Drosophila melanogaster: one gene and its partner. The gene in region 1 interacts genetically with each later gene. Each region holds a gene or a part of one and is shown on either strand. Other genes may lie near its edges.

Region 1 (5,456 bases):
CGAGCAGCTATGCCCACCAACTGCGAATGCGGCAGCAGCAGCAGCAGCAGACGCATCCAGCGATCTACTCGCAGCACCATCAACATCATGCCACCCATCTGCCGCACCATCCGCACCAGCACCATTCGAATCCGACGCAGTCGCGCTCGTCCCCCAAGGAGTTCTTTCCGATTGCCACGAGCCTCGAGGGCACACCCAAACTTCCACCAAAACCTAGTCTAAGCGCTAACTTCTATAACAATCCAGGTGAGTGCTACCAACTCGGCCCGTGATAACGTGTTTCCTAACCCAACCATCCTATCCGTTTGCAGATAAAGGTACGATGTTTCTTTACCCAAGTACAAACGAAGAATAATTTAAATTGCCTGGCGATGTGATAAGGACGAAAACTACGAGTATGATCCGTAAGATTCAAAGTTGCGAGCACTGCTTGAGTGCAGATATATATATGAGAGAACGGAACGTGAGATATATATATATATATATACATATATACGTAGGCGCAGTTTATGTATTCTAGTATGAAACGAGTTGGAACCGCTGATTTAGATTATTCGCCACTCATTTAACAAGGTAGAACAGACAGACAGACAAAATACGCTCTCATTTACACACAACAGGCACGCGCATATGGATAGGAATGCAGGACACACAAACCAAGCAAGCAACCAAGCAACCAACAAGAAATGCAAACAAGAAATTATGTTATTATATAATTACTATTATAAATATTTGTAAATATCGAGAACATTGTATTGATCGTAGAACGTAAAACAATAAAGTATAACCCTATTGTTAGACACTTGGCGACATCTTTCGATGACCAGAAATATAGAGTATTGTAGCCAAAGTCAAGGCAATCTGAGCAAATAGCATAGATTATCAAGGCTTTTCCAACGTTTAAAGATCGTGGGTATTCTTTATGTGCCCAGTGGCCTTGATGAAGTCGACGTGAACCGACATCCGACTGCAACACACCTGACATTCTCGCAGTGTCCAGCATAATCGCAGCCATTATTAAGATTGTGTATATGGCTAATTAGTTTCGGTGGGTTAGGAAAAACTAGAGCGATTGTTGTCTCACTGCATTAGGTGCAATTAAATTGGACACACACATTCGCTTATTGGAAACAACGCGGATTGACTTTCGCTTTTCTAAAACGTCATGAACGTCGAGCACAAATGCTTCCTGAAATTTTGGGCTGCTCGCCGCTGGGAACCGGTTGTTGTTTTTTTGAATTATTTTCGTATATTTGTATATTCGTATTTTCACGCTCGTGTCCAGCCCCTTATCGTCAGTTATTTGGGGGAGTTATGTGTGTGCAGCAGCCACCGTCCCCAAAAAGCGATGTGTCACCTGATGGCGCAGCGATTTGGATCCTCGGTGAAGTACCAGCGGTTACCAGGGTGAATAAACCGAAAGGAATTCCTGGGAAAGACAGACCATCTTTCATGTCCAATTGTGTCCTATGAACACATCTCAATACATCATAGCAGACACTCGGGGAATTTCCGTTGTTGAATTGTGGGGGGTGGTGGTGGGGTGCACCTTTATTTATAGAGCACCATGCACTCCATACCCTATAGACAAGGCCATCGGACGAGCACGATCATATCTATTCGCCATTAGATTTCGCTTTCCCTGCAACACTTGACCAAGATATCGGGAAGCCAGACGACGACCTACACCAACTGGCAATCTATGTATGTAAGTATGTATGTGCCAGTCTGCCATCTTCTCACACAATTAGCAATTGGCCAAAGAATGGAATTATTCAATGCATTTGCATTTAATGCATACTTGATTGCGGCTAATGAGAGAGAAACGCCACGGCAAATTGCTAGAGAAGATTAGACCTTTGGCGCATAATCAGCGCGCCGTAATTGCTCGTAAATAATTGTGTTACATGAGCATATCAATTAGTCAGCCAATTAACCAACAGCCAGCCAAAATTGGGATTCTGCGATTCTGGGATGAGTGGACCAGGGAAATCCCGGTGCTCTGAGTGCTCTGCATTGCGCAGGAACGAGGTGCTTTCCATGCTAACAGCCGCATAACCAGAATCCACGAGTCAAGCCAGGTGAGATCGGCACCTGCGTCGGCTCTCGAGCGGCAGTGCCTTTATGTAATAAGCGCCACTCGGTTTCGGATTCGGATTCGGATTCTGAGTTGTGGAAGTCGTCGAGCTTTTATAAAAGCGGCAACAACATCGCCTGTTCACTCAGTTCACACGGAATCACTGTCAAGTGCAATCTGCAGCAGTAGCAGCACCAGCACCAGGAACAGTACCATCTAGTACATCGGAAATCTAGAGCGCTAGCCAAGACATTTACAGTATAAACCGCAGACGAGAGCCAATAAAATGCTGGCCAGCGAGAACTTTCCCACACATCACTTCAAGGAATCTATATTTAAGCCGTACAGTACGACGAGTGGCGATGATTTGGCAAGCGTTAGCCCATTGACAGCGACGGCAGCGTTGGTGGCGTCCACGTCGTCACCGGCTGATTCCACCTCCACAGTTGCATTCGAGCAGGCCAGCAAAATGTTGGCCAACGCCGCCAACAATAATAATAATAATAATAACAACATCACGAGCACCAAGGATGATCTATCCAGCTTTGTGGCCAGCCATCCGGCGGCAGAGTTCGAGGGCTTCATCCGCGCTTGCGTCGACGAGATCATCAAGCTGGCCGTCTTCCAGGGCACCAATCGCTCCTCGAAGGTCGTCGAGTGGCACGAGCCAGCTGAGCTGCGACAGCTCTTTGACTTCCAGCTGCGGGAGCAGGGCGAATCGCAGGACAAGCTGCGCGAGCTGCTGCGGGAAACGATTCGATTCTCCGTGAAGACAGGACATCCGTACTTCATCAATCAGTTGTACTCGGGTGTGGATCCATACGCGCTGGTAGGTCAATGGCTCACCGATGCCCTCAATCCCAGCGTGTACACGTACGAGGTGGCTCCACTCTTTACGCTGATGGAGGAGCAGGTGTTGGCCGAGATGCGACGCATTGTGGGCTTCCCCAATGGCGGCCAGGGTGATGGCATCTTCTGTCCCGGCGGCTCGATAGCCAACGGTTATGCAATCAGCTGCGCCCGCTACAGACACTCGCCCGAGTCCAAGGTGAGTGCCCCATTGCAGCCAAGTGGTTTACCGCCAATCCACGCGGAAGTCGGCATCCACTGATTGGCGAGTGATCGTTAGTCATGCCCGTGATATACATATAAAAGTGAAACTAAAAGTTCTTAGCGATTTAATCAGATAAATAAACTATAAAGATGTGTGTTTCAAGATTAAAAGGCACATATTTAGGTTCATAAAAAAGGTTTAATGATTTCCTGTGCTAAAAATTATACTTTTTATGTTCATTTTCGATTTATATAGAAATTTAACTGATAAAGAGAACGGTATTTTAAAACAATGCATTTTAGAACTTAGTGCTTTTCAAGGATTTTTCTACATTTTTGTCTGTTGAAAAAATTCAATTCAAATTCCAATCTAAATAACGAATTAAAACTTTAAAAAACTCGAATATCTACGGAATTGAAATAGGAATTCTTTTCTAAATAGATCGATTTTATAAAAATAGTTATACTATATAGAAAAAGTATTACTAACTTTTATAAATATACGAAATTAACCTCTTCAATCCGCAGAAAAACGGACTCTTTAATGCCAAGCCGCTGATTATCTTCACCTCGGAGGACGCGCACTACTCCGTGGAGAAGCTGGCCATGTTCATGGGCTTCGGCAGCGATCATGTGCGCAAGATAGCCACCAACGAGGTGGGCAAGATGCGGCTGAGCGACCTGGAGAAACAGGTGAAGCTGTGCCTGGAGAACGGCTGGCAGCCGCTGATGGTATCGGCCACAGCGGGTACCACTGTGCTGGGCGCCTTCGATGATCTGGCTGGAATCTCGGAGGTGTGCAAGAAGTACAACATGTGGATGCACGTGGATGCGGCTTGGGGTGGCGGTGCGCTCATGTCCAAGAAGTATCGCCATCTGCTCAATGGCATCGAACGGTGAGTTTCATCATATCCTGGTTGCTCATTTCGAGGGGTAAACTGAAGATGTGTATATTGGCAGGGCTGATTCGGTCACTTGGAATCCACACAAGCTGCTGGCTGCCTCGCAACAGTGTTCCACCTTCCTGACGCGTCACCAGCAGGTGCTGGCCCAGTGCCATTCGACCAATGCGACATACTTGTTCCAGAAGGACAAGTTCTATGACACATCCTTCGACACCGGCGACAAGCACATCCAGTGCGGCCGACGAGCGGATGTCTTCAAGTTCTGGTTCATGTGGAAGGCGAAGGGCACCCAGGGTCTGGAGGCGCATGTCGAGAAGGTCTTCCGCATGGCCGAGTTCTTCACGGCCAAGGTGAGGGAGCGTCCTGGATTCGAGCTCGTCCTCGAGAGTCCCGAGTGCACCAACATTAGCTTCTGGTATGTGCCGCCCGGTCTGCGGGAAATGGAGCGCAATCGCGAGTTCTACGACCGTCTGCATAAGGTGGCGCCGAAGGTCAAGGAGGGCATGATCAAGAAGGGCTCCATGATGATCACGTACCAGCCGTTGCGCCAGCTGCCCAACTTCTTTCGCCTGGTGCTGCAGAACTCCTGCCTGGAGGAGTCGGACATGGTCTACTTTCTGGACGAGATCGAATCGCTCGCCCAAAACTTGTAAACGGTGACGCGGCGATGGCATGTTATGAGGTTAGGTGTTGACAACATTCTCTTTAGGCTTACGCCGATTGTATCTTCTAGTGTATGGTTAACTAATACTACTCACGTTTGTATATTTTTCTGGATGTTAAGTATTACCAAAAACAAAGAACAAAAATACATATTTATAGGTCATTTCATTTAGATTAAAGTGTGTCCTTGCCTTGGGAACTGGGAAACGTATCGGCAACAGGATGCTTTAAATGCAAGGTTATTTAAAAACATAGTGATTAAGTTTGCAAACCCTTAACTATTTCAAATACACTTGATTTATGTATATTTAACATTTTGGGCCTTACAATTTAAGAGGAACTAGTAACAGCCTCCAAGTCTCCTTGACTTCCTGAGTAACAACTTAGTACTTATGATTTAATCTCTAGTATTTGGCAGCTAACTCTTCTTTATCCAATCCCACTGACTGACATCGTTGCCTCCAGCCTTCTCGATTGCCTCCGCTACGCTCAAGCTCTGACCAGGCTGAATACCATAGCCGATGCGCAGGCCATGCGGATTCGAGGGCGTCTTGCAGTCCATGGTGCACTCCTTGCGCAGCACAGTGTCTACCTCCACGGACGAGAAGAAGGCCACCGACATGGGCAGATCCTGCAGTCCGATGCGGGACACACAAAAGGAGCGCGTCATTAGGTTTGTGATGTGCATGGCCAGCGCCGCTTTGGGCGATAGCTCTTCCTTGACCAAGTAGCGCAATTCATCATGGAAGCTCAAGCAG
Region 2 (5,182 bases), on another chromosome or scaffold:
GCATAGAACGTGGTGGTCAATGGTTTCAATTAAGCCTAATCAGTGGTTCCCCTTGTGGTTGAGCTGTTCGTCCGTTATTGTACTACTTGCCGAAGGTCCACCTCCTGCTCGAAGAACTCCTCCTCCTCGCTGTCATCGGACTCCGACTCCGGCTCCGGCTCCGAGTTGCGGGCGGCCTGTTGATAGCGGAACTGCGAGTTGGGCAGCGGCAGTAACTCCGCTGGTTTATCCTCCTCAGGTTCCTCCACTGATTCCTCCTCGGGCGCCGCATCCATGGACTCCTCGATGGTGCGCGAGTGGTCCTCGATCTCTTCGTCGTCCAGATGCGGTGCTCCATTGGCGAACGAGGCGAAGCGCAAAGGATCACGCAGTTTGCCCATCACCGCCCACTGCTTGCACTCCGGACTGTTGACGTACTTGCGCAGGTCCGCCAGCGATTTCGAGGTCTCCACGGCCGTCTGCTGTTCGTACTCCTCCTGGGTGAGCATGCGCCTCTTTAGCGGAAAACGGCGGCGATACATGAACTTGATCTGGTTCGTCCACGAAATGGGGAAGTAGTGGGCCACAAAGACCAGCACCATGATGAAGATCACGGCGCTGGTGTGCCAGCTGCTGAAGTAAGCCATAACGGCGCCAATGGCCTGCAGCACCCACATGACGATGGTTTGCGATCGAGGATTCTTGGGCGGACCAATGCGATAGCAGATCTGTAGAATAATCGAGGCAATTAGCTGGGGTTATCTAATCAAAAGGGAATATCAAGTGACTACGCACCAGGAACGAGATCAGTCCGGTGATCACCAGATAGCCCAGCACATGGTCGCGGTAGGTGATCAGAATCAAACGCAGATTGTCCGCCAGCTGTTTGATCACATAGAAGCCAATGGTCCAGCCGCCAATTAGGACGCCATACATCATGGTACGTCGCGGAAAGAGTTTGGCGGCCAAATAGATGACCACCAGCAGGGAGGCGCATATGCCGATGACAATGCCGACCAGATAGTAGAACACACTGTTCTTTGCTAGCCGCCGGGCGCTGAAGAGGATCAGTATGCCGACGGCGAACTGTGCGAGACGCCACAGATCCAGCGGAATGCTATTCAGAATGACGGTGTACGCCTGGCGGGAGGAAATCCCGATGCACTGCTGCTCGAAGGGCGAGAGCTGCAGCAGCTGGCGCTTCTGCGCGAACAGGGTGATGCTGAACAGCGATTGCTTGTCCTTGTAGTGCTGCAACACCTCCTCCGGCGTCTTCCCACCGTACTGGGAATAATCATCGCTCCCGATGGCCAGGACGAACTCCACAGTCTCGAAGAGACTTGACACCGTCAGCCGTTTACCCGGATAGCAGAACGTGCGCAGAGTCTGCAGTCCCAAGATGTTCTCCGACAAATTGATGTATGTGCCCGGCGTCAGGTAGGCGACGTCCGAGGAAGCCGTATTGCCAGGAATACCCGATGTGAAATATCCAGCCACGGTTAGCATCAGTAGTCCAGCCGAATGCATTATGAACGGTTGCAATGGCGTTAATCTTATCAATCAGTGCGCTTTCAGTCTGTTGCTCTCGCAGGACGTTCGCTTGTTAAATGCTGACTTGCTTATGCTTGATGTTTTGATGTTTACTTTACTTTAAGGAATCGAATGAAAAAGCAACGCCGCTTTGGTTTATGTCCTCACTCACGACGGGACGGGCAGTATATCGTAACGTAAGAAAAATGTATCGATAGGTGTGTGTGTGACTACACTGTTGTGATTTCAAATTTGTGACTAACCATTTAATTGTGGATTATTTATTTCCTTTGGAATACTTTGCAGAACACCCCATTTAAACATGTTTGCTAATATTATTACAAATATCTTATCTTATTCATAACAATAAATGAATATATAACGTTCTTGCCAAGTTCCCAACCTGCAATATTACTTCTAGTAAAGTTCCACACCGCCGAGCTAAGCTCTTGCTGTGGCATTTTTTAGCACATAATGCACGAAGATTCCGATTCAACCAAGGCGGTGAATTCAGTTGTTCGACTTTGATTTTCCAGACGTTAATTGGAGCCAATTTGCAAGCAAACACAGTTAAATGCTCAAACTAAACATATCCGAGCAGTGCGAAGTTAACCAGCTCTAAAAGCGGTGTCGCAAAGTAAACAAATCAAGTTGTCAATCGAATTAAAGTCGAAACCAAAACGTGTTCACAACTACAAGTGCAGCAAAGAGAGAGCTTCGCTTGAAAGTACACGGAATCGTAAGTGAGCTGTAGTTGTAACGGGTGCAGATGGGAAAAGGATAACTTGATGGCGATACTAATGCATCGTAGCTTAAGGATTCTCAGTTGGTTAATCCTCAATTCCTGCCCAAAGTCCAATTCAAAGTTAAAGTCAATGTTATTGTTATTCTCATTTGCTGACCGAACCGGTTTCCAATTGGATCCAAACTTCTCACACGTGCTTACGCACACACAAAACGCACCCTCTCACACTCGCTCTTCCTCTTTCTTCTCCGCCGCTAGTCATCGTGTAAACAAACCGTGAATGGCAATATCAAATGACAACAGGAACTTGAAACGCTTGATAAGCAGTGTCCATTCCCAATCAGAACCGTGTTGTGCCCCGCTCAACATGTTGCCAGACAGTTAAATACATGCATACATTCATCTATCGCGGCTTCCTATTGGATTCTTTGTATATTTTCTTGGGCCGGCAAACTGTGTGCGTGTGACGGTGTGTTTATAAACACATGTGTTTTTTGAACAAGATAACCTGTGGAATTATATTACATTACATTTAAAATCGAGGGTATGCACGCGCTCTGCGTAAACATATAGCATAGTCATAGCATATACTCATTAAGTAAAGTTCCCAGAGTCGCCGAATATTGTTATCAGATTTTCGACTCAATATTGTGTCTACTTGCCTTCGTAGAGATATGATCTTTTAATTAATTAACTTTGCTCGTTTATTTAAGACGGTTTTCGAGTGACAGGTACTAAAGAATACCCTATGGTTTCCAATCCTCCCCAGCAACTCGTCCAATATGGCCTCTACGGACTGTTACCTCGCACTGGAGGATGGCACAGTGTTGCCCGGGTACTCCTTTGGCTACGTTCCCTCGGAGAATGAATCCAAAGTGGGTTTTGGTGGCGAGGTGGTCTTCCAAACGGGCATGGTTGGCTACACGGAGGCGCTCACGGATCGATCGTACAGTGGTCAGATCCTGGTGCTTACCTATCCACTGATCGGTAACTATGGGGTACCAGCGCCGGATGAGGACGAGCACGGACTGCCGCTGCACTTCGAGTGGATGAAAGGCGTCGTCCAGGCCACCGCCTTGGTGGTGGGCGAGGTGGCTGAAGAGGCATTTCACTGGCGCAAATGGAAGACGCTGCCCGATTGGCTGAAGCAGCACAAGGTGCCCGGAATTCAAGACATTGATACTCGAGCCCTGACCAAAAAACTGAGGGAGCAGGGAAGCATGCTAGGCAAGATTGTCTACGAGAAACCGCCGGTCGAAGGGCTGCCCAAGTCCAGTTTCGTAGATCCGAACGTCAGGAATTTGGCCAAGGAGTGCAGCGTTAAGGAGCGACAAGTGTACGGTAATCCCAATGGCAAGGGACCACGGATCGCCATTCTGGACTGTGGACTGAAGCTCAACCAGTTGCGCTGCCTGCTGCAACGTGGCGCCTCGGTGACCTTGCTCCCCTGGAGCGCTCGTCTCGAGGATGAGCAGTTCGACGCCCTCTTTCTGTCTAACGGACCTGGTAATCCGGAGAGCTGCGACCAGATCGTCCAACAGGTGGGTCACAATTGAATCATTTGGATAGAATATAATGCTAATTTAACTAATCTTTTGTTTCTAGGTGAGAAAAGTGATTGAGGAGGGTCAAAAGCCCGTCTTTGGAATATGTCTGGGTCACCAGCTGTTAGCGAAGGCAATCGGCTGCTCTACTTACAAAATGAAGTACGGCAATCGAGGACACAATCTGCCCTGCCTGCACCGAGCAACTGGACGTTGCCTGATGACGTCGCAGAATCACGGATACGCGGTCGATTTGGAGCAGTTGCCCGACGGCTGGTCGGAGCTATTTGTGAATGCCAACGACGGCACCAACGAGGGCATTGTCCATGCCAGCAAGCCCTACTTTTCGGTTCAGTTCCATCCGGAGCATCATGCTGGACCGCAGGACACGGAGTTCCTGTTCGATGTCTTTATGGAGAGCATTCAACAGAAGGATTTGACCATTCCGCAGCTGATCGAGCAGCGACTGCGTCCGACTACGCCTGCCATAGATTCGGCTCCAGTGATGCCGCGCAAAGTCCTAATCCTGGGATCCGGTGGACTGTCCATTGGTCAGGCTGGCGAGTTTGACTACTCCGGATCGCAGGCCATCAAGGCCATGAGGGAATCAAACATTCAAACAGTGCTCATCAATCCGAACATAGCCACCGTTCAGACCTCTAAGGGAATGGCCGACAAGTGCTACTTCCTTCCCCTAACACCTCACTATGTTGAGCAGGTGATTAAGTCGGAGCGTCCGAACGGAGTACTGCTCACCTTTGGCGGCCAGACCGCTCTCAATTGTGGCGTGCAACTGGAGCGAGCCGGAGTTTTCTCCAAATACAATGTCCGCATTTTGGGCACACCCATCCAGTCGATCATCGAGACGGAGGATCGCAAGCTCTTTGCCGAGCGGGTCAACGAGATTGGCGAGCAGGTGGCGCCATCTGAGGCTGTGTACTCCGTTGCCCAGGCACTGGATGCGGCCAGTCGCTTGGGTTATCCGGTGATGGCCCGTGCTGCCTTCTCCCTGGGCGGACTGGGTTCCGGGTTCGCCAACAACGAGGAGGAGCTGCAGAGCCTGGCCCAACAGGCACTGGCCCACTCGAGCCAACTAATTGTGGACAAATCCCTGAAGGGTTGGAAGGAGGTGGAGTACGAGGTGGTGCGCGATGCCTACAACAACTGCATTACCGTATGCAACATGGAGAACTTCGATCCCCTGGGCATCCACACGGGCGAGAGTATTGTGGTGGCCCCATCGCAGACCCTCTCGGATCGCGAGTACCAAATGCTCCGCAGCACCGCCCTGAAGGTTATCCGTCACTTTGGTGTCGTTGGCGAGTGCAACATTCAGTACGCCTTGTGTCCCCATTCGGAGCAGTACTACATTATCGAGGTGAAC

Evidence for each region.
Region 2: of b (region 1) and r, changing one suppresses a phenotype caused by changing the other (phenotypic suppression), as found in Drosophila melanogaster (2 studies listed by BioGRID).

The regions. Positions count from the first base shown.
Region 1 is NT_033779.5:13,819,024-13,824,479, forward strand, and holds b (black), read left to right. Parts: upstream 1-2,224; 5' UTR 2,225-2,363; coding exon 2,364-3,125; intron 3,126-3,658; coding exon 3,659-4,026; intron 4,027-4,090; coding exon 4,091-4,688; 3' UTR 4,689-4,956; downstream 4,957-5,456. Other genes in the region: Sos (Son of sevenless), read left to right, coding at 1-246, 312-355; PolG1 (DNA polymerase gamma subunit 1), read right to left, coding at 5,117-5,456.
Region 2 is NC_004354.4:16,653,362-16,658,543, forward strand, and holds the start of r (rudimentary), read left to right. Parts: upstream 1-1,997; 5' UTR 1,998-2,248; intron 2,249-2,729; exon of another isoform or gene 2,730-2,798; intron 2,799-3,023; 5' UTR 3,024-3,036; coding exon 3,037-3,795; intron 3,796-3,859; coding exon 3,860-5,182. Other genes in the region: Nemp (nuclear envelope integral membrane protein), read right to left, coding at 75-707, 775-1,506. UniProt on the Drosophila melanogaster protein: Multifunctional protein that encodes the first 3 enzymatic activities of the de novo pyrimidine pathway: carbamoylphosphate synthetase (CPSase; EC 6.3.5.5), aspartate transcarbamylase (ATCase; EC 2.1.3.2) and dihydroorotase (DHOase; EC 3.5.2.3).